2 linked regions of the Neodiprion lecontei genome follow. The protein of the gene in region 1 interacts with the protein of each later gene in a pairwise test. Links are inferred from orthologs where the notes say so. Each region holds a gene or a part of one and is shown on either strand. Other genes may lie near its edges.

Region 1 (12,524 bases):
ATATACTGAGCTGAGGTAAGTGAAAAATATAATTAACGAAAAACGAGGCAAAATAATTGGTTGAAACAAACATATAATTTGTTTAGCTGAAACAGGCAAGAGGTTTGATTAGCTGAAAGGGACAAAGGTTTTATTAGCTGAAACAGACGAAGGTATGGTTAGCACCGTCACATAAGTTCATACACTGACAAAAAATGGGTAAGAACCAACATGATATTCGCTTTAACATTCATTGCGTCGTTTATCAATTGTATCGACGAATACAAAACATTCTAAATTTTTTGAATCAACATCCTTTTCTGCTTTGAGTTATTAAAGTGAATATCTTTTTGGAAACATTTTATGGGTCTCAGTGCATTTGTTAAGAAATCGGTTTTGTTGCCCTGAAACAGAAAATAATACGATCAGTTAAACGAGTATTTCTGTACGTTTCAGATATATTTCATAAATATTTACGCTACGATTTTTCACTATCAGTATACACTACCGAGATTTTTGTTCCTACGCGTTGAGCGCCGGATTTCAAATGCCGCGGTTTCTCTCATAACTGAAAGGTATCAAGTCCACGCGCAAAAGGCGTCGTTGAACTTGAAAATCTTATTATTCGTTAAAAAGTTGCCTGAAGAACTGAAACATCAGCACGTCGAGAGTGCGCAACTTTTTATATACTGTTTGCAAAATCGACGTGCAAAAAAACGTGCCCAATTTCAATTATTAATTTACGCGCATGAAGCTGCGTCAAATTCTTGTTATCAATTTAAGCGCATGAAGCTGCGTCGAATTCTCGTTCTTAATTTACGCGCATGAAGCTGCGTTCAATTCTCGTGATTAATCTACACGCAATAAGGCGCGACAGATTAAACTGTAAAAAAATTTGTATTTTCTGGGACTTGTCCCAAAAATTCTGTAGAAACCCAATCCGCATCTGCATCTTTTAGATACCAGATACATTGCTATGCGGATTGTTGTTCTCAGATTACAAATCAAATTGAAATTGGGAGGGAGGTTGGAGGGCATGCATTATTGTGTGGCGTGACGGTCGGCGGTCCTCTTCGACGCGAAGTCTTCGAGCTCAGCATCTCTCCCCATCTAGCGTACCACGGAACGCGATAAATGGTCCAGAGATGCGTTTTGCCCATTCAGACGATCACAGAGATTAATCGAATGGAATAACGATCGGTGATGACTAAATAATCGAATTGGATAACGATTGAAAAATCGTTGCAAAGTGACAAGAAGTGGGAAATTTAATCTCGTTAATACTCAAATGTTTACAAATGGTCGACAGACTCGAATGTGGAGTCTTTTGGGAAAATGTCTGTGATCGTTTGACGCTGTGGATTACAAAAGTTAGTAGCATCACGGTACATCGCGACCTTCCTAACCTCGCCTGTTTCCCAACGAACCCACCCAACGGAAAAGAGAGATTCACACACTCATGCATAAACCCCGCGACGGATCCCAAAACGTCCACCTACCTACCCGGTTACCTATATTCGACCTAAACGATTCTCCATTTTTTCCAACACACATCATTCTTCATCATTTGCGCCGTGGTCACTGACTTACATTTTCATTGGTTACCTGTTGGGAGCAAAATGTTTTTGTATCGTAGTCTGCCTACTCAGAATACAGTATCGCGGTTGTATCCCGCCAACTCTAATATTGCATTTGTTATTTTAGTAAATGTTGGCAGACTATCGGTACATTAACCTTTGGTAAAATTGATTAAAACATCCTGAATTCTAATTAGCATTTTTCTAAGCGAGCTAAGCCTGCAGTTGATCAATACTTGTTGGCTGTTAAAAGATTGAAAATGATATATAAGATGCAAATTGATTTTGAAATTTAACAATAATGTGGATAATTGAATACTTTTGAAACCTCAGGTGAACCCACCACTTAAACGGCATCATCGGTAAATTCAAACGTAGATTATTACATCAGTTACGAAACACAATTCGATCTCGCGAGTGCCGAGTAAGCGATGGTTGCCTGTCGCGATGCTCATTCCACTTTTAGCAACGTGTAAAATTTCTAATTTGAAGTAAGCTACGCTAAATTGCATTGCGAGAAATGATGATTCCACTGAAAGTCAAGCACGTTGCGATTGTGAATGAGCCTATCCATGTAGCTAAGAAATCGAAGATTTGTGTGACAATTGTTACCGCCACGCCACGTGACAAAGGAATCCCAGGGAAATACCCGTAACCTAACACATGCAAACTCACCAACGTTGCCGAGAAATGGAAAAGTTACTCGGAAGTCTCTGCTTAAATCTGTGAAAAACAAAACACGACACTTGAATTAATTTAGGAAATTGGCTTTTCAGTTTTCAAATTAATTATTACTGATGTCTTGTTTCATATTTACGAATTCGTTCGGCTTTAAATGACCACCGTGAACTATCAATCAATAATTAAAATAAGTATTGTTACCTCGACTGTGGGCTGTTCCACACTTTCACATGCAGTAGTTGCAGCATCTCAGGTTTATCGGTGAAGCGACGCACTTTTCACATCATTCACATCTTCACTAGTCTCTTATAGTTCAAAAGTCCGCACCGCAATAACACTCGGATTCTACACTCAGTTTTTGTGCTACAGCTGTCTGTTTGAACCGAGTGAATAATCTTGCTAACAATGCAATAGCGCATTTGCCGAAAATAAGCCATAAAAATATTAAAATTGACACACGACGCACAGAGACAAAACACACATCACTAAAATCTGAAGTTACACAACAAACAATGAAAACTCGGGACACAAAATTCACCTTCAATGTTCGCAGGATGTTTTTACTTTAGTAACTCGGTTTTTTGTTAGGTTATACACGGCTCCTCGTGTATTGTTCACAGACAAGTATGTTGGAAATGCACTTGAACCACCGGTCGGAATGTTGAACTGATGCCGAGGACGGATGATCTCAGTTCGATTGCTCGGAGACGACTGATTCTGCTCGGCGCTCCCGCCCTCTCTCCTGATCTTCCCGTGGAGTGGGGGTAGTTGCACCCGCCACCTAGCTGTTTTTCCTCTCCCGTTCCCCAACCCGCGCACGACGATCACGGAAGAGCGACAGAGAGGGGGGGAGAATTATTATCTTCTATCCTTTAGAGAATCGATTCAAATCTGTTCACGGGACGCTCACGCCGTTGCTTACGCTCTATTTTATATATCCATAGTCTCACGGCCGGGTGTAAACACCACGCAAGCTACGCGCAACGCGATCTAATGTTTACAAGACTGCCGTAACGTGCGCCGTCAGGCGAAGTATCACTTCTCCGACCACTTACGGCGTTGACTGAAGATATGTAAAGACTGATAGTCTTATGGGACTTTTCGTAATCAAAAATGAACGAGATAAACACATCGTGAAGCGGCGTCCTTTGCGTAGTATTTACGCGAGTCTCCTTTTCTTAGGACGCCCAGCAGCACAGACGCTCGATCGCAATCTCACCCCACTCACTATCCTTGGACCGGTAAACACACCGGCTTGCAACCCGCCGCATGCACATTTTTCCACACAATTATGTAATACAATGTAGCAGTGTCGGACATATTTTAGTTTCAAACTAAAAATCACAATTGACAGCACTCATTTTTAATTACGCTACTAAAATTAAATTTTTCACAAAAATTCTCAATTCGAGTTTTTGAATTGAGAAATTGAAAGTAATTGCAATAATACGAATTTGCTCATTGAAGAAGATGAATTAATTCTCAATTAAATTATTCCAATTATCGAAATAAAGAACTGATTCTTTATTCATCGTTTCGAATCACGAGAGTGAAAACAAATTCCCAGTATAATTTTTCGAATTAAGAAATAAAAAATAATTCCCACTTCAATTTCTTGGAGTACAAAAAAATAATCACAAATCTAATTTTATGAATCAAGAAATAAAAAACAATTCAGAATTGATACTTTACTTCTTCATACAAGTAGATACTGGCTTGCCTATCAACGCTAATCTGTATTTTCTATGTAAAAATGAATTTTATCCCGTAAAAGATATAAATTTATCAATAAATAAATAAACAAATGAATTCATAATTCAATTCGAGTTTTAGGCTGATACCCCTATACATATAATAATAAAAATCCACGTCGCGCACTTTCTAACTCTAAATATTCCAAAAAAATATTTTCCATTGACAAGGATGATTATGGTTTGGGACAAAGTTATCTGCATGTTCAATTATAAATACGCGCAAGGAAATTTTCGAGTTATCTTCTAGCTATACTACCATCGATTACCGGTTTCGGTACTCTCTTCATTGTAGGTGGCTACAAATCAAGTATCTCTTTGATCAACCTTTTCAACATTTTTAACTCCACCTTTTGGAAACGTAACAATTATATAGTCAATTCTCACTTCTTAAAATGAAATAAATGTGCAGTGGTGCAAGGTTTAACTATACGTGCTTCAACTTCCTTTGATGCGGAATAGCAGTAGATTATAAGTATGAGTATCTTTTGATAACGGCAGTACGTATAGCCGACAGGATAAAAATTGACTTTACGAATAATGTTGCGTTGGTAACAGGATTTAATGATTTGAAAGTCATCGGATCATTACCCTTGAAAACCACTTATTGAAAAACAACCGTTGATATTTCAATAATGTTATTTATGGCATTCAGAACATTTCAAAATTTGCTCTGAAAGAAAGAGATATTCCCAATTTTTTTAGCGCTTCAAAGAACTACGAATTGACAATAATCAATATTTAGCATTTCAACAATTGAGAAAAAAAATATGGTTTGATAAGTCAATATTATACAGAAGATAAAATAAATTTTTTGTTTCGTCACATTTCTAAAAAGGTGTATGACTGAAAGACAATTTTAAAACCTCATCAGAATTTAAAATAAATCCGCAAATATTTTATTCTTCATTCCACTTAATTTGCAATGAATCTCATGATAGATTCATTTCCATTATTAATTTTTATATTTATTCAAGAACTTGCGGAATTTTTCTTAATTAAAACCCAATTATCGTTTACAAATTTTGGGAAAAACTCATAAAATAGGCTCATTCTTCTACATATCTTCAACGTGCTTCTAGCAAAGAAAAAAGTGTTTCAGAATTTTTCGGATATTTTCAAAACTTGAGATATCGAATTTCTTCAAATCGTAATCTTAAAAGTGCTCATCAAAGCAAACAAAAATTCTTTATAGAAACATTCTTCAAATGGTTGGAACTAAAAATAGAGCATTTCAATATTCTTCCAAAATACTACGTAAAAAACTTTGAAAAAATGAATTGAGCGTCTTAGAGATGATACTGTCGCCCGCAAAAGATTTGATGTATTCATGTAAATATAAATGATACACGTTCATGTCCTTGATTGACATTTATTTTTCCGTTGTATAATTTCGGCACACATATGTCTTGAACGGGATTTTCTCAACTTTGCAATTTCACCATGTCAACGGTATGTTATCAATGTTTTGCACACGATTGTTGTTGGTTATGAACTTCGTTTATGGGCGTGTTCAGTTGCTTGGTTGATAATACGGGAATCTGCTAATACCTCCAAACCGGCCAGACCCGACAAACTGTTACGAAAAATAACCCAGGGTTATCAGTCTTTGTATATCTTCAGTCAACGTATAAAGTCTGTGATTCGTCCCCTGTCCTGACCAATGCCCATAGTATGCATAGTGTGAATGCATGTGGCTAGCATTCTTAAAGGTTCGAATCGTAGTTCGAATGCCACATGGTTGTGACAATGTCTTTTAATTCAAAAACTATTGCAGTTTAAGTTATCTATTGTATAGAATTATTCACCGATCATGAAGAGCTCGAGGGTTTTCCACGACATCATCAACGTCGTAGAAGCAAACACCAAGAAAACTGAAAATTATTTGAGGTTAATTCTAATTCATTTCCAACAACCGTAGTTTTACAGGTCCAATAATTATTTCGACTGGAGTACGTTAAAATTGAATGAGGCTGCAGTTCTCAACGTTATTTTCAAGTTGTACTTCTACTTCTAGCAAAACCCGGTTTGTTTGAAATTCAGTGAACACTGAAACACCGTCGGCATACTCAGATTTTATAATCTGAAACTTTTCAAACTCATTTTAAAGTTGTAAAACGATTTTTCTTTTAACGTTGCGTTACTTATCCATTACTAACTTCAGTCCCATGAAATTGAAGTAGATGTAAAATATATTCATTTAGAAAGAAAATCTTCATCTTACGATTTTTATCAAATAATTTATGCAGCCAGTGATTACCTTTCATTGTTCGGCTCAATTAACACCGATAATTTTCATCTTTGTAGCATACAGGCAGGTGCATCGTTGGAATTCCGTCACACGATAAAATCCCTTTATGATTTTACTAAGGAAGAATCTGGTCGCATGACGGAGGCGTTGCCAGAGCTAATCACAGAGGGTTTTGATACTGAGCAAATATGGCAACAGCTAGAACTCCAGAATGAAGGAGAATTGCCTCATATTCTGACAGGAGTCTCTAGATCGTTGATTGCGGGTAAGAGACTGAAACTACCTGTCAAGCTAACGAGGAGTGATGAACAACAAAGCAATGATAAATCAGGCCTCGATCAATCTTTGGATGGCGAACAGGTATCTTCCTACGATTCAGACCTAAGTGACGGCGACTTAAGTAATTTAGACATAGAAGGACTGGGGAAGCAGATGAGGAAGAAGAAATCGAAAAGAGTGGCCAAAAGAAAAACACCGCCCTCGATAGTAGATGATAAATTCTTCAAACTCCAAGAATTGGATGAGTACCTCACGAAAGAAGATAAAAGAGAAATGCAAAAAGGGAAGTCGAATGAAGAAGACAGTGATGATGCCGATGAGGAGTCTGTCGACTTATTTGAATATGTTTCTGATAATGGAAGCGAAGACAACGAAACTGACCCAAGACTAGTAAAGTTTAAAGATTTCTTTGATCAACCACAGAGCAACGATGAATCAAACTCTGAGACTGAGAGCAATCATTTTAATGAAGAATCTGAGAACGATACCAACCTATCTGTAGATGAAGAAGAAACAACAGAACCTCATAAGAAACGCGTTAAATTCAGTGTCAATGATCAATCGGCTTCAAGTAGTTCAGAGGAAGATGAATCTAAAAAGGAAGGAACTACAGAGATAAAATCCAGCCTAGAAACACGTCAAGAAAGACTGCGAAGAAAAATAGAGGAATTGGAAGAAGCAGCAATTTCAGAAAAACCTTGGCAATTAAAGGGTGAAGTTGATGCTGCATCTAGGCCACAGGATTCACTGCTGCAGGAGCACGTTGAGTTTGACATAACTTCCAGACCAGCTCCTGTGATCACTGAAGAAACAACATTGAAGTTAGAGGATATAATAAAGCAGAGAATAAAAGACAAAGCTTGGGACGATGTTGAGAAGAAATTTAAACCTGTTGAAACCCCAATGGAATATAAAAAAAAGCTGGTGTTAGACCAGGAGAAGAGCAAACTTAGTCTGGCACAGATTTATGAAAATGAATACTTGAAACAAAAGGAAGCGTTGAACCCTGACAACGAGGAACGAGAAACTGAGGAACCTAAAGAACACATTGAAATTCGTAATATGATGCATTCTTTGTTCAGCAAACTTGACGCTCTTTCCAATTTTCATTACACTCCAAAATTGGTAAGCCATCAGTTTCTCTTGATGCAGCATCTGTTAATTCTAGTTAGATCCGAAATGAGACAGATTAGAATTCACAAATTCATAATGTATCGATAATGGTTTTCGCATTTTATTTTAGGCCAGGCCTGACGTCAAAATCGTTAGCAACCTTCCTGCTGTAACGATGGAGGAAGTAGCTCCGATAGCCACAAGTGATGCAACTTTATTGGCACCAGAAGAAATAAAAGGTAAACCATATAATACAGCAATCAGTATCTATCTGAATACAGAAAAAGTTCGCTATTACAAATTATTCAATTCCGTTTCATTACAGCAAAATCGCGTGGCGACCTGATCGGCAGAGCCGAGAGAACTGAGACGGACATGAAACGTGAAAGGCGTCAAAAGAAGTTGAATCAACGAGACAGAGAGAAAGCTAAAGAAAAGCGGGAAAAGATTGTTGGGAAATTGAAACCTGGTCTTGGAAATAAGTACAGTAAGGAAAAAGCAGCAAAGATGATTGACAGTTTGAGTAAGGAGCGTAATATTTCAAAGATAGATGAAACGAGTGGAAAGACGGCAAAGTCTTCCACAGCATTCTTTGATCAGCTTCAGGATCAAGTCAATTTTCATATAAAATCGAAAGACGGCAATGTGCGGAAGAAGAAAGACAAGAAGGCATTATCCGCGGTGAAATTAAAACTCTGAACTTGTATAGTCGATAATTAAAACAATTTCCTCTTCTACTATTTTTTTAAAGTACGTTAGTTACAATTAGAGGTATTCATCATTATTATTATTAATAAATGAAATTTAAAACACGAGTTTTCTCCGTATAGTATTCCCCATATATTAGTGAAAAAGTGTTTCCGTTTTCTCACGATTATGATATGCTATGGTTTTTTTTTTGTTTTTTAAAACTTTTTTTTGTTATTTCTCAATCTCTCTCTTGCTTTCAATCTAAAATATTGCTAAACATATACAAATGCAACAATTCACAAGTGATAGTCTTATTATAATTACAATTATTTAATTATGTGCTATGTTATTACTAATATCTAAGAAAAAATATTACTTAGAAAATTGATATCCATTAATGACATCATTTTGTAAATAACAAGCAGCTTCGAGTGAGTTATATAATTTTGTACATTGTCACGGTCGTGTCTTTGTCTAATATCTGTCATCAAAAACATTATAGTAATTGCACGGTTTACAAATATATGAAAAAACAATTTCATTAAGCTACTCCTTATCATATATATCTACGATGAAAGCTTGCAGTCGAAAAGTTTTAATTTCTTATTCGTAACTATTCTGAAAAGTTTGAAAAATATTTCAATATTTTTTTTGTCAACTCCTTGTAGTTTTCATTTTTTTCCTCTTCATTTTAAATAGTTTTCCACTTTTGCAATGAATTTCTCCAGAACACTGGCAAATAAGTATATGGAACATGGATCGATCAATGATTCAAAGTTGATCATAAAATGTACATAATTAAATATATTTAAAATACCATTCCAAGTAGAAATTGGAAATTCTGCGTATTAACTATCCTTATTTGACTTCGCTTAATTTTGTTAAATTTTATTTACTTTGTTTCTTTTCTAAATTGAAAGTATTAAGATCAGGAAGGATGGTAAGGGCTGAGTAAAAATATCAATAAAAGGGATTAATATCGAAGGTGGAAAAATACAATATCAATAATAGTTATATTAATTAGTTATTTTTCTACCACCAAGATTTCCCCTGCCCCCCTTCCTACTCGAAATTAGTATTGAACATATTGAGCTCCTCAAAACCAGGGGCTCCGCCTTGGTCCTGTAACATCTGTAACATGTCCGATAACTCCTGAGGCTGCGCTCCTGGACCTCCTTGCGAGGGGTGAGGACCCTGGCCTTGATTAGCGACCGGTGCACCCGCCTGTCCACCGTCCTGCTGTGCTTGATGCGGCCCTTGATGCTGCTGGCCTTGCCAGCCCCACATGCCTAAAATGATGATCAAATAAAAAAATCAATTGCTGGGGGGGTATACCTACGTATACGAGTAAACGGCTCAAAAAGCGGGGGAATTTCGAGAATTCAAATTTCTGCTATCGATTTTCAATTTGATCATGGTTTATGTAATTTAAAAGTATGTAGATCGAGATTCATTGAGGTCTTTTTTTTAATTATGATCTATTAACAGAAAGCATTGTTATTGATACTAAATTCAAACATTTCGCTCAGTGGTAGTTTTGGTACCTCAAATTTGGAGAGTTTTCGCGGCGAGTTTATCTTCTCTTCCGGAATCCAAAATTTTTTGTTCTCAACGGAACAAGAAACGTTTAAAGTTGGAATATAATTTTTCACAAAAAAAAATTTACCACTCTTTTTAAGTTTAGTTAACATAATAATATGATGATAGAAAGAAATAGGATTGTGGCGAAAAGAATAAACTGTCCAAGAATGTCAGCTCCAAGTTGAAGTAAATTGGTTGAGCCATTTTTGAGCTATCGTGAGGACCACAAAAGGTGTCAATGAGCGAAAGAGTTGACGTTATTGTCAATAACAATAGTTCCTAATAATTGATTCTAATAAAAATTGTATTTAAATGAAGCTCAACCTGCATACTCTTGAATAAAACGATCCCCAATCGAATTGAATGATTGATTGTCAAGATATAAATTCTTAGAATTCACTCACTTTTTTAGGCACCTACTGGTATAAGCCCTGTTAATCGAATAAATTTAATCATTAACCCTACCACACGTTGACTTACCCGGATTGTTCGGAACTGTTGTAACCGCGTGGTAAGACGCCGCAGGTGTTCGAGCTCCACTACTAAGCTGAGTATAAGTTGGACCACTTGGAGATCTCGACGGACTTAACTGGTGGTTATACTGGTAGCCTTCGGTGACAGGTTGTTGCTATAAAAGAATAGGGTGGCATTGAATGAGACAATTCCTGACAGGACCTGATGCGGAACAATAATTGCACCGTTGATATTTACCTGTCTGAGTGTCCAGGCTTGCTGAACGGGAGTCGGCGATGTGTTTGCCGGTTTTGGTATACGATTTAGAACCGAGGAGGAGGTGCTCTGCTGACCGGGGGATCCATAGGCTATTGGTGACTGGGTCGTTTCATATCCCTGGTAAACGTTTTGAGCACTGGATGGTCTTGCTTGTTGGGGTCCTGTAAGTAGGTGACCGAGATGAAGTGATAACTTGGTCAAAATTCGTTTGGCGACATTCAGGTTTTGCGGCACTTGACAAAGAATTTCATGACAGGTGGAAAATCAAGTTATAAGATACCATACCTGCAGTAGCAACTGTCGCAGGATGCTGCATCATTTGATGGGCTGGGTAAATAGCCTCTCTGGCAGGATGTCTGTGGACGCTGTAGTCAAGACTAGGTTGTCCATAACCAGAGACATTCTCTCCTTCGGTTTGTCCCTCACCACCAGGGTGCAAGGATTTGGCCGTTGTGTTCGTGCAGACTATGTACTCGACTTCATCCGTGTAAGGGTTGAGAAACGCAAAGGCGGACGTTCTGAGCCAAACCCAGTCCCGATTTTTCGCCCGAAATCGATACATCACCGACATAACTTGGCCCTTTAGTTTCAGTACTGTGATATAAGAAAAAACACGGTCAACAAAAAGTTTCGACCATTTTTTTCCTAAGTTTTATTTACCTTGCTCAAAGCTTTCCCTCATGTGCGTCAGGTCTTCAGGGTGAAAAAAATCGTAGCAGGGATGTCCGAGGAGCTCAGATGGCGTGTATCCCAGGATTCCACCGACCCTCTGATCGACAAAAGTGAATTTTCCTTCAGCTGAATGACGGGAGATGAATTCTGTAGTACAGAGAAATTCACCATTGGATGACAGTCAGTTTTAGCGATTGAAGTTTCCAACGATATCGAAGGTATTAATGTTGACACAATGAAATATTGAAAAAACAAATCTCTATTTCGCAACTCCAGAATGACTTTAAAGCAGTTTAGTTTGCAAAGCATGAAGATATCTGGCATTATTATGGCTTACTGCATATCTAACTATACTAAAGTTGGGAGATAACGATTTTTTCTAAAAATGCATCGTCATTTCGAAATGCATTGATAGTTTTGACCAGAAATGCCATCAGTATAAAACGGCTAAGAAATCGTTTAGATGGCCTGTAAGAATGTTGTATGGTATGCTGGATCAAGCTAGTGTAAATAGTTTCATTTCATGTAATTTGAATGAAAAAAACAGCCATACAAAGAAACAAATTTATCAAAGAACTATCATTAAAACTTGTAAAACCTTAGTTAGGAGACTGGTTATACCCACTCGACATCTCAAATTGCGAAATTCAATTGAGGATGTTTTAAAGCCTAGTGATATGCCAGAGGAATAGGATATCCAGCATGAATTGGCCGATAATAAGATAGCGAAAACCAAATGATGCAACTTGTGCCCTTCTTCTCCCGACCATAAAACGCGTTATAAATGCTTACAATACGATAAGCCTGTGTGGAAAGAGCACTTTGAAAAGATATGTTGTGAGAAAAAAAAGAGAACAGTTTCAACTGACCAATTCAAGCCAAACGATCTAAATGACTGAAGTTTTACCGAGTATTCCTCACCCAGTCCGTACTGATTGAGACTTTTTTATAGTCTATATGATGGGGATTAATATCTTAAATAGATTTTTTCTACTTCTGTGATTTTAAAGAAACAGATAAGCATTCCTTCAGTGTGTTAATGTTATTTAAACAAGATAAAGTAGCATCTCACCATTGTTACTGTTTGAACCAGTTAAATCACTGGTATTTGGTGTGCTTGTGACCTGAAGACGTCCGATGGCTACTAAGCAGCAGTGTGACGAGCCGCTGTCGTCACCAACGACTCCATCAGGTGCCCCTGGAACTCCCCCACCCTGA
Region 2 (9,003 bases), on another chromosome or scaffold:
TACTGGTCAGAACTGATGAAGGGTCGGCCTATATATTGGGTGTAACTCAAATAAAGTATTACTTGCAGCAACTTTCTTGCCAAAGTTAATTACGATGTAAACTTACAGGGTTGTTGCAAAATTTTTTTTTCCAGATTCTCAAGCTTAACCAGTTTTCAGGAACAAAGAGATGATTTCTCTCAGATTGTTTCAAAGTATAGAAATTTACAGTTTCAATACGTCAAAATTATCACATTCCAACTTAAACAATTCTAAATTTCTTTTAGCAATAAGAAAATGCTTATCAAGTTAAGTGAGATATGAAATTATTTGGGAACCATTGAATGAACAAAGTCCAATAGCACCCTGTAATACTGTTTTAAATTTCAACTTTACACAATTTACTTTGTTATTCGCAATTATAATAATAATATTGATTTGCAGACAGCATTTTTTGAACACAATACAAATGTATTACTCCCTACGAACAGAAATCTAGTTCTCAGGTCCCTCTTTATTTCATAGGATGATTGACTCAAATTGAGTGGCTTGACTTTAGAATGGGATTAAATTTCAGGGTATTTAATAGAATTCTTTGGCTACATAGAAATTTTCACGTTTGCGACGACCCTGGTATTGGAAAAATTTTACGTGCGACTTATTGTGAAAAATTTGGTAACATAATATGCGAAAATTTGTTCTAAATATTAGTAAAGTTGAATTAAATAATTGAATGTTAATTTATCGATCCGTTCCAAACTGCGCTCAATTTACGCGCTGATGAATTAGTTCCAACGCCGACCGCGACAAATACACAAGCGCTAACTACGTGGCAAGAGAACGAGAAACTACATGATACGGAGAATAGGCTAAATCGCAAAAACGAACGTTACTACTAAATGAATAAAATCCATGCGCCAATGTCTACGTAAATTTTGACACAGTAGTGTTTAGGATGCAGCTAAGCTAACCAAATTGCTTATATACGCGTTTTGGACGTATCTCACCATCCGTTTTTTGATGACGTTTCGGGGACGCGAACGATTCCATTTCGTCGAGCTGGTCGAAATGTTTCTTACGCCGCTGTGCTTGGGGGTTCTCAAGTTTTGGTACTTGTTTTCGAATGTCCGCCTGCATGACGGGGTTGTTTAAATTAAAACAAGCTTCAAGTTTAGTTAAATGATCGTACTTCTTTTTCAGTGCTCGTAATTAAATTAGACCAATTTTACACACACACAATTACCCTGATCTTTTAAAAACAACTGCAGCGTTGCAACCGAAACTGTAGTGCGCATGATCCGTCCATCTAGGTTGAATTACTGTTTCGTGGCGACTCGATTTGCGCGCGAAACTGACATCATCAATGAGTTATTAATAATTGTAAATTACTTGAAAAAGAGCAGATGATTCAAACATTCAATATTTTCCATTTAATGCACTGAATATCGAGTTACATAATGTTTAGAAAAAATTAAAGGTTAGATTTACGGTAAATGAGAAAAAGGCAATTTCATAGCTGTACATACAAAATTCATTTTATTTATAAAAAACCATATGTCTGACTTGAAGTGCATCTAAAAGTCATCTTCCTGTTGCCACCCATCTTCCTCAGATAAAAACCGTCTTTTATGAGTAGTATTCATGTACGGTCGCAACGCCCACTCTGAATCAGCAGCAGCAGCATTGTCTAATGTGCCCAATTTGATTTCGTACAATTTAAGTTGAAACCTGGGACCGACTTCAGACATTTCAATATCCTTGCCATTTATTTTCTTGTAATTATGATGACGGAATGAAATATAGTCGTCGTGATTAGCAAAAGTGATTATCCTTTTGCTGTCCTCCTTAGGTACAGGAAACAAATGCTTTAATATGCTGACAGTCCTCTGTCCCAGTTTAGTTTTAAAGTTGTGAAATATTAAATGCGGATACTGTTCAGACATTGTTCCAATGTCTGGAATATCGTGACGCATGACGACGTCTGACATGGTGAAATAGGCTGTAGGTCCGTAGGGCAGATGGCAGATAACCAGGGTGTCTGGAATCCCTCTATGCTCGTGCACCATGATAAAATCGGTCACGTCATTGGCACGACAGGCGTGAATTAGCTGTTTCATTTCGTAATTACCGCGATTCATCCTTTGGGAGTTTGGAAATATGAGTCTGAGCTCTTTGACGAACATTTTCAGCCGCGAGCTGGGGTCTCGCGATGTCGTTATAACTATTTTCGGGTCCTCGACACCTGCCCATCGGTATTCGTCGTCCTCGTGCGTGCCGATTGCTCCTCCCATCTCCGTACTGATCGCTACGGCCATTTCGGGGCCTGCATCTTCCCACTCGATTTTTTTTTGCAAATGCAATGCATTCTTCCTTAGGTCGTGATGGATCGGAGTATTCTCTTCTAGGCTATGTTTTAACCTCTCTTTCTTGTCCTGGATCGTCTTCATTTTGTCCTGTACTGACTTTCGATAGAGGTATTCCCGCCTCAGTCGCGCTTGTCTTCTCAACATCTTCGATTTTTCGTTTTTATCAACCCTTTAGCACACAATAATGCGTTATTTATTTTTCACAATTTGCGAGGCTGCCGTCAAACAAGCATCAAATCCGATGCAACACACGTGTTTTGCTACTCGTATTCCATAGGTTGAGTAAAAAGTAGAGAACTTACGCTACAGCTAGATATGAATAGCTAGACATCGGGCAATTCTCGAAGTTTTTAAATTCGTCTCAAATTCGGTTGAAGCGTGAAATCAATAATCGACGTGCTATAATTATGAACGCATCTTGTAAAAAACGAACAAGGCTATGCAGTCTACCGTACAAATAATGATATTTTCCACGCGTGTTGGAGTACGTTAATTATTTATTTCACGTTTAAATCAAATTTGACTCAGAGTTTCAGCCCTTTTTAAAGTTTTGACTCACGGCCACCAGCAGAGCGTTGCGGACACCTAAGACAACGAATTTGATGAAAATTTCGGACAATGTGCGTTACTACATCGCCCGTGAGCACAGGCGTGGATGACAGTAGATGATAGATGCAGTTTTATAGTGGTTCGTACAATCAATTTTGATAGATCATGGAAGAAGCACCGTATAAATTAAGTTCCGTGTTAGTTGGTCACAGTTCTGATGTGCGAGCTGTAGCGGCATTTAAGGATGGAAGTCTGGTGTCAGTCTCGCGCGATAAAACCGCTCGCCTTTGGAGGCCGAATGAGTATGTCGAAGCTCTAACCTATATTCCTTTGAATGTCCCACAACGAATTATTATTGTCCCTGTGATCGAGGCAACGTGTAAATGAGGGATTTTCTTTTCATTGTCAAGCTCCCCGTTTGGTTGTTCCATAGTTGACTAGCGAACGGAAATTCGCTTCGTTGCTCAGGTTTTCATGATGCTTGACCCTCCGCAATAATTAACTTTCAGATTAAATGCCGGATACACGGAATCCGCAGTGCTAAAGGGTCACAGCAACTTTGTGAGTTCAGTATGCGTAATAAACCCCTCTGAACAATTCCCGGATGGCTTTGTAATTACTGGGAGCAACGACAACAATATCTGCATTTACCTGCCTGGGGAAGAGAATCCGCTGCACACTATAAAGGCGCACCAAAACACTGTGTGCAATTTGAGTGCAGGTAAGGAGGAGGGAACATTCCTATCCAGTTCGTGGGATCTTACAGCAAAATTATGGCATATCAACAAGCTGGATTCACCACAACTGACTCTGACCAGTCACACGGCAGCTGTCTGGTGTGTGGCAGATTTGGCCAATGGCGTCATAGTCTCAGGATCGGCTGACAAGCTGGTTATAGCCTGGCGGAGAAATGGCACCATACTCCACAAGTTCTCAGGACACACAGATTGCGTTCGTGGAATATGCGTGATCAAGGACGAAGAGTTTTTGAGCTGTGCCAATGACGCAACCATTCGACATTGGAGTGTATCCCTAGGGACTTGCCTCGGCACTTACTGTGGGCACACGAACTACGTGTATGGAATAGCATCGACGTTTCTGCTGGGCGGTTCACATGTTGTTACTTCCGGAGAAGATAGGACTGTTAGGATTTGGCACAACGCTGAAATCCAACAGACTTTAACACTCCCTGCGCAGTCCATATGGTCAGTTGACATTTTGCCAAATGGAGACATTGTCACTGGATCTTCCGATGGATTAGTTAGAATTTTCTCTGCTAAACCTGAACGTTATGCCGATGCTGCAACTTTGCAACAGTACGACGAGGCCATCGCTAATACCCAGCTTAATGCTGAGCAGGAGTTGGGTGGCATCAAGATTAGTGAGTAGGTATTCTTCCCTGTTTCTTGTCAAATTTTTCTTTCATCTTTGAATATTACTTCTGGAAGGAAAGGGTGTACGTTTAATCCTACGCATCATTGACTTGTTCTAAAATGACATAATTTTAGAATGATTGTGCGAAATTTTTAACATCTTATGTATTTTGATCAAAAACATTAACAATGATGATTCCTGGTGACCCACAGTCTGCCAGATGCCAAAGCTCTACATCAACCTGGACAAAGAGATGGTCAGACAAAAATGATAAGAGATGGAAATACCGTCAAGGCTTACAGCTGGTCGCAATCAAGCAAACAGTGGCAACATGTGGGAGATGTGATGGGTGCCTCTGGTGGTAGTCCAGCCACATCTGGTAAACAATTGTATAATGGTATGGAGTACGACTACGTTTTCTCAGTCGACATTCAAGACGGTGTTCCACCTCTAAAGTTGCCTTACAATAATGGCGATGATCCTTGGTGTGCGGCCCAAAAGTTTATCCATGATAATAACCTTAGTCAACTATTTCTTGAACAGGCAAGATATCAATTTTATCAAACAAAATGTCTTATGCACATGGCTTACGAAGACCCTTCAATGACATTTTCCTGTTTGCAGGTGGCAAACTTCATTGTAAATAATTCTCAGTCTGCCCCAGTTCTGAACGCCGAACCCCAGTTCGCTGATCCTTTTACAGGAGGAAATAGGTACATACCAGGATCTGGAATTCCTGGAAGAACATTACCAAATAATGTGCCAACACCGTCGGCTAGCTCTTCCAGTAGTTCTGTGTCGCAGACATATATACCGCATACTACCTATTTGAAATTGGAGCAAGCCAATGTTCCAGCTATCACTGGTGATGAATGATTGCATATTTTTTGCACATAAAATACCAGTAATTTTGTTACTACTAAAAATATACAACAAATAATTTGTTAAAATTTCCAGAAAAATTACTAGAGTTCAACAAAAAGATTGACAATGGCATTCACACAGTTTCGGAGGAATGCTTAGACCCATTTGTAAAACGATTGTGCAGTCAAAACGGAGACGAGGTTGGAGCTGATCCAATTGAAATGTTGAAAATATTTTTGAATTGGCCAAATAACTTGGTGTTCCCAGCACTAGACCTTGCAAGGCTGGCTGTACTTCGACCAGATGTTAACTCGCAGCTATGCAATGACGGATTATTGGCGGTGCTGAGGCGGCACATCAAAACTGATGCACTTCCAGCTAATCAAATGCTAGCTTTTCGAGTACTAGCTAATATGTTCTGCCATAGTAAGGGTGAAGCATTGGGTCTACATTATAAAGACGAGTTACTCAAGACGATACTCGACCTTTCGTCTCTTGGAAGTAAACATAACCAGGTATAACCGGTACTTCAACATTTATTCTGACATGCGGGACGGTTTGATCAGCGCCAACGTTCTTAGAGCTTCTATCCGTACATGTTTTCAATCCTACAATTAATCAATTTACAACTGTTGTTTCAGATTGCGATAGCGAGTTACCTGCTTAATCTAATAGTGGCATTGAATAAACTTGACGATACACCTGGCAGAACAAGAGTACTTAATGTGATGTTTGCCGTTTTGCCGCTCTTGACTGAGCCCGAAGCAATATTCAGAGGGCTCGTTGGGTTGGGTACAATTTTGGCAGCAACACCAGACCCCGAGGATCGTGATAAATTAATTACAGCTGTGCGACAGTGCGAAAGTGCACTGGCTGTTATCAAGACAATGTCCGAATGTTCGACCAATAGCCCTGCACAAAATAAACTTTCTAATTGTTCCAAGCAAATTATTGATCTAATTATGTAAAGAATTCTTACTGTCAAACTTTCGTATTTTTAATACTGAAGGAGAAAATATTCATTCGGCAATTCGAATTTCTCAAAATAATTAAACTCACGATTTCTTCGTAATTGGTTATGAGAGACCTAGTTACTCGAATAGTCTACATAAAATTTTTAGGCAACAAATTCATATCTTCTCGAAATGATTTGGCTCCAATTCGTGGAATTGGGACGGTTTCTTGTTCACGCGAGACCTGCATCAATTATGTAATGTTCATTTATGATAATATTTTTGCATTATTTACTGAATTGCTGTGTGAATATTGATTGATTACATCCATTACATGTACAGTGTGTAGTAGAGTGTGCTACGTGTTACCCATTAAAATTAGCATCATTTGGAATAAAAGCAGTGTTCAAATTTATCGAGAGCACTTTTAAATGAAAGAGGCGAAAAATTATTTAATGATTGTCCCACAACTCTAGCATTGCTGGAGAAAATCTTACGTCTGCGTGTGCTACCAAATTTGACAATAATTGCGACCTTTGATACAAGAATTTTTCTAGTTTTTTTTTTTTTTCTTTTCTCCTAAGCAACCCACAGGGAGTAGTTTTTAATTTATCAGTGAACTTTACTACCCATGTAATGTCTTGAATTCAATGCAGATCACGTTTTTTTTTTTTAGTATTTGATTCAACATTGTCAGCATTGTAAGCTTCTATGATTTTTCTATTTAATTCGAATAAAATGCCGAATAGTTTAACGGGGAAATTTGGAGTGACAGAGAAATTGATGACATGTAATAGTGACAGTGATAAAACAAAAGTCGCACATGAGGTAAGATAACTTGTATATCTAAATAAAAATGAGCTCAAATATGTACAACGACGAATATAAAATAATAATTTATGTAATATACATATTTGATTTAATTCTTCGGACGTTCAATCCATTAAACATACAACAGACAACGGTGTAGTAGTAGAATATTGTTATTATAGTAACGTCAAATATATATTTCCTTAACAGATAAACGATCGGTCTTGAGTGATCAAGAGCCGGTTCATCTTAACTTTGTAATTAGTTGCATGAAAAATAACATTCACTGTATATATTCATATTAATTTCAATTATGTTCGATGAAAAATACATACTATATATTGAGATAGTTTGTTTCAGCCATGTAGATTTAGGCTCGCGACGGGAATGTGAATGTGTTGGCTTTTTTCTTTGTTTTTTTTTTTTTTTTGGTTTTTTTTAAAAAAATAATTTTTTAATATATTCTTGAGATCTGTAGGACGATATTGCAGAAAAGTGATGTTGCTGCTCTGAAGTTCGAACAATCAATCAAAAATGTGCAGATGATTCAGACTGCGATATTCATTATTCATTCATTTGCTTAATTAATTAATTAATTAGTTATTTACTTTCTTTCACTAGTATATTATCATTATCCCAAGTACATTGGGCCACCGAATGCATATTTCAACAACCAGAAAAAGCAGTTTTTAACGCAGCCGTTACAACTTTTTAACAACATGCGTACTGATCTGACTATTCGATTTATCTTTTTTTTTATTTTCATCTAACACTAGCAAACCACTAGAGCAGTTTGAACCAATTTTCTGTTTCATGCATATCACCGTACACGTAATGTAAAATTGAGACAAATTATGCACGAAAAGGGGTAGGGAATGCTCTCCAAAAAAGAATACCGAATAAAGATTTTACCCGAGGATTTCTTTACTCGTTCAATGTATCATCATAAAGTAACCGAGGCTTCGCGAAGTTTACAAGTCACGTATTGCGGAAGAACAGAAAAGAAATATCAAATTTAAATTTCAAATTTCAACCCAAACGGCGTTCCGGAATAAAGGTATTTTTTTCCTTCTGGTTTTTATCGGATAAATGAAAAAAATTTAAAACGAAGCGTATCAAAGTATCTTCAACTGTTAAAGACCCTTTCAAACTTCTCGGATAAAATATTCTTTGAATAAATAATAAAACTATCCTCGTTCTTTTTTCCGTATACCCGTAGCAATTACGTGGCCGCGTTGGGCTGAGCTGGGCAGAATGAATAGCTGGGAGGGACCTAGAATTTGTATTGGGTCCCCCCAGCCCCGTCTCATTCTGCCGGCGTACTAGCCGCCCATCTATCAAACTCAATACCTGAATCAGGACTAAGACCTAGATCGATAGGACTTAAAAAGCTAGGTACGGGACAATTGCAAGGACCTCCAGGTCGGCAGGCGCCGATGCACCTTCTGTCGTTGCCTTTACTTCTATCCCCCCGATTCCTGAGCTCTATTTCAAAGCTGTGCAACTGTTCCATGAAGTGAAAATTCGGAGCTACGTTTGACTTCCGGCTTCGTACTAAATTAAAAGCGTCATTCAGGCTAAGGCTGCACTTGTGCATAAGGTAGGCAACCGTTATTGTTACGGAACGTGATACTCCGGCTAAACAGTGGACCAGTACACCTTTATCCGAACTTCTTGCTTCCTCTGGAAAGAAACGGAAAAAAATCAGAAATCATTATCACGAGAGTTATCGAGGCTTATAAACGAGGTGGCAACGTAAAGCGTTCGTAAAGCAAACTTGTGACCAATATTTCGTCGATTACACATTATAATTGTATTCGACAGGAAGTTATGAAATGTTTGTAATATCGACGCGTTTTAATGAAGCATATTAATTAGTTGCGGGAATTTCTCCAGGAAACTGTTTGAAGGATTTTGCGGCTGCCTGCGGAGCACGTATTTCATTACGCAACGCGAATTTCGTACTGTAAACAATGAAAATATTTAGAATAGAATTTGAATACTTCATAAAAATACAACGGGGCTCTCATTCTCAAACGGTGCTGTAGCATAACCGGATATCCGTTGTTTAATTGTCTAGAGTAAGTTCGCCCGCCACGTGGGAAAGT

What was found.
Region 2: the proteins of U3 small nucleolar ribonucleoprotein protein MPP10 (region 1) and U3 small nucleolar ribonucleoprotein protein IMP4 interact in a two-hybrid assay, tested with the Drosophila melanogaster proteins (2 studies listed by BioGRID). The link is inferred for Neodiprion lecontei from reciprocal best matches to the Drosophila melanogaster genes CG13097 and CG11920.

The regions. Positions count from the first base shown.
Region 1 is NC_060262.1:22,089,540-22,102,063, forward strand, and holds U3 small nucleolar ribonucleoprotein protein MPP10, read left to right. Parts: upstream 1-5,644; 5' UTR 5,645-5,801; coding exon 5,802-5,878; intron 5,879-6,295; coding exon 6,296-7,643; intron 7,644-7,761; coding exon 7,762-7,870; intron 7,871-7,956; coding exon 7,957-8,330; 3' UTR 8,331-8,941; downstream 8,942-12,524. Other genes in the region: aryl hydrocarbon receptor nuclear translocator homolog, read right to left, coding at 9,384-9,610, 10,383-10,530, 10,614-10,795, 10,920-11,228, 11,295-11,453, 12,379-12,524.
Region 2 is NC_060263.1:38,126,234-38,135,236, reverse strand, and holds U3 small nucleolar ribonucleoprotein protein IMP4, read right to left. Parts: upstream 2,630-9,003; 5' UTR 2,490-2,629; coding exon 1,554-2,489; 3' UTR 1,499-1,553; downstream 1-1,498. Other genes in the region: HMG box-containing protein 4, read right to left, coding at 987-1,116; phospholipase A-2-activating protein, read left to right, coding at 3,060-3,196, 3,404-4,279, 4,481-4,811, 4,893-5,133, 5,226-5,647, 5,774-6,100; dual specificity protein phosphatase Mpk3, read right to left, coding at 8,202-8,578.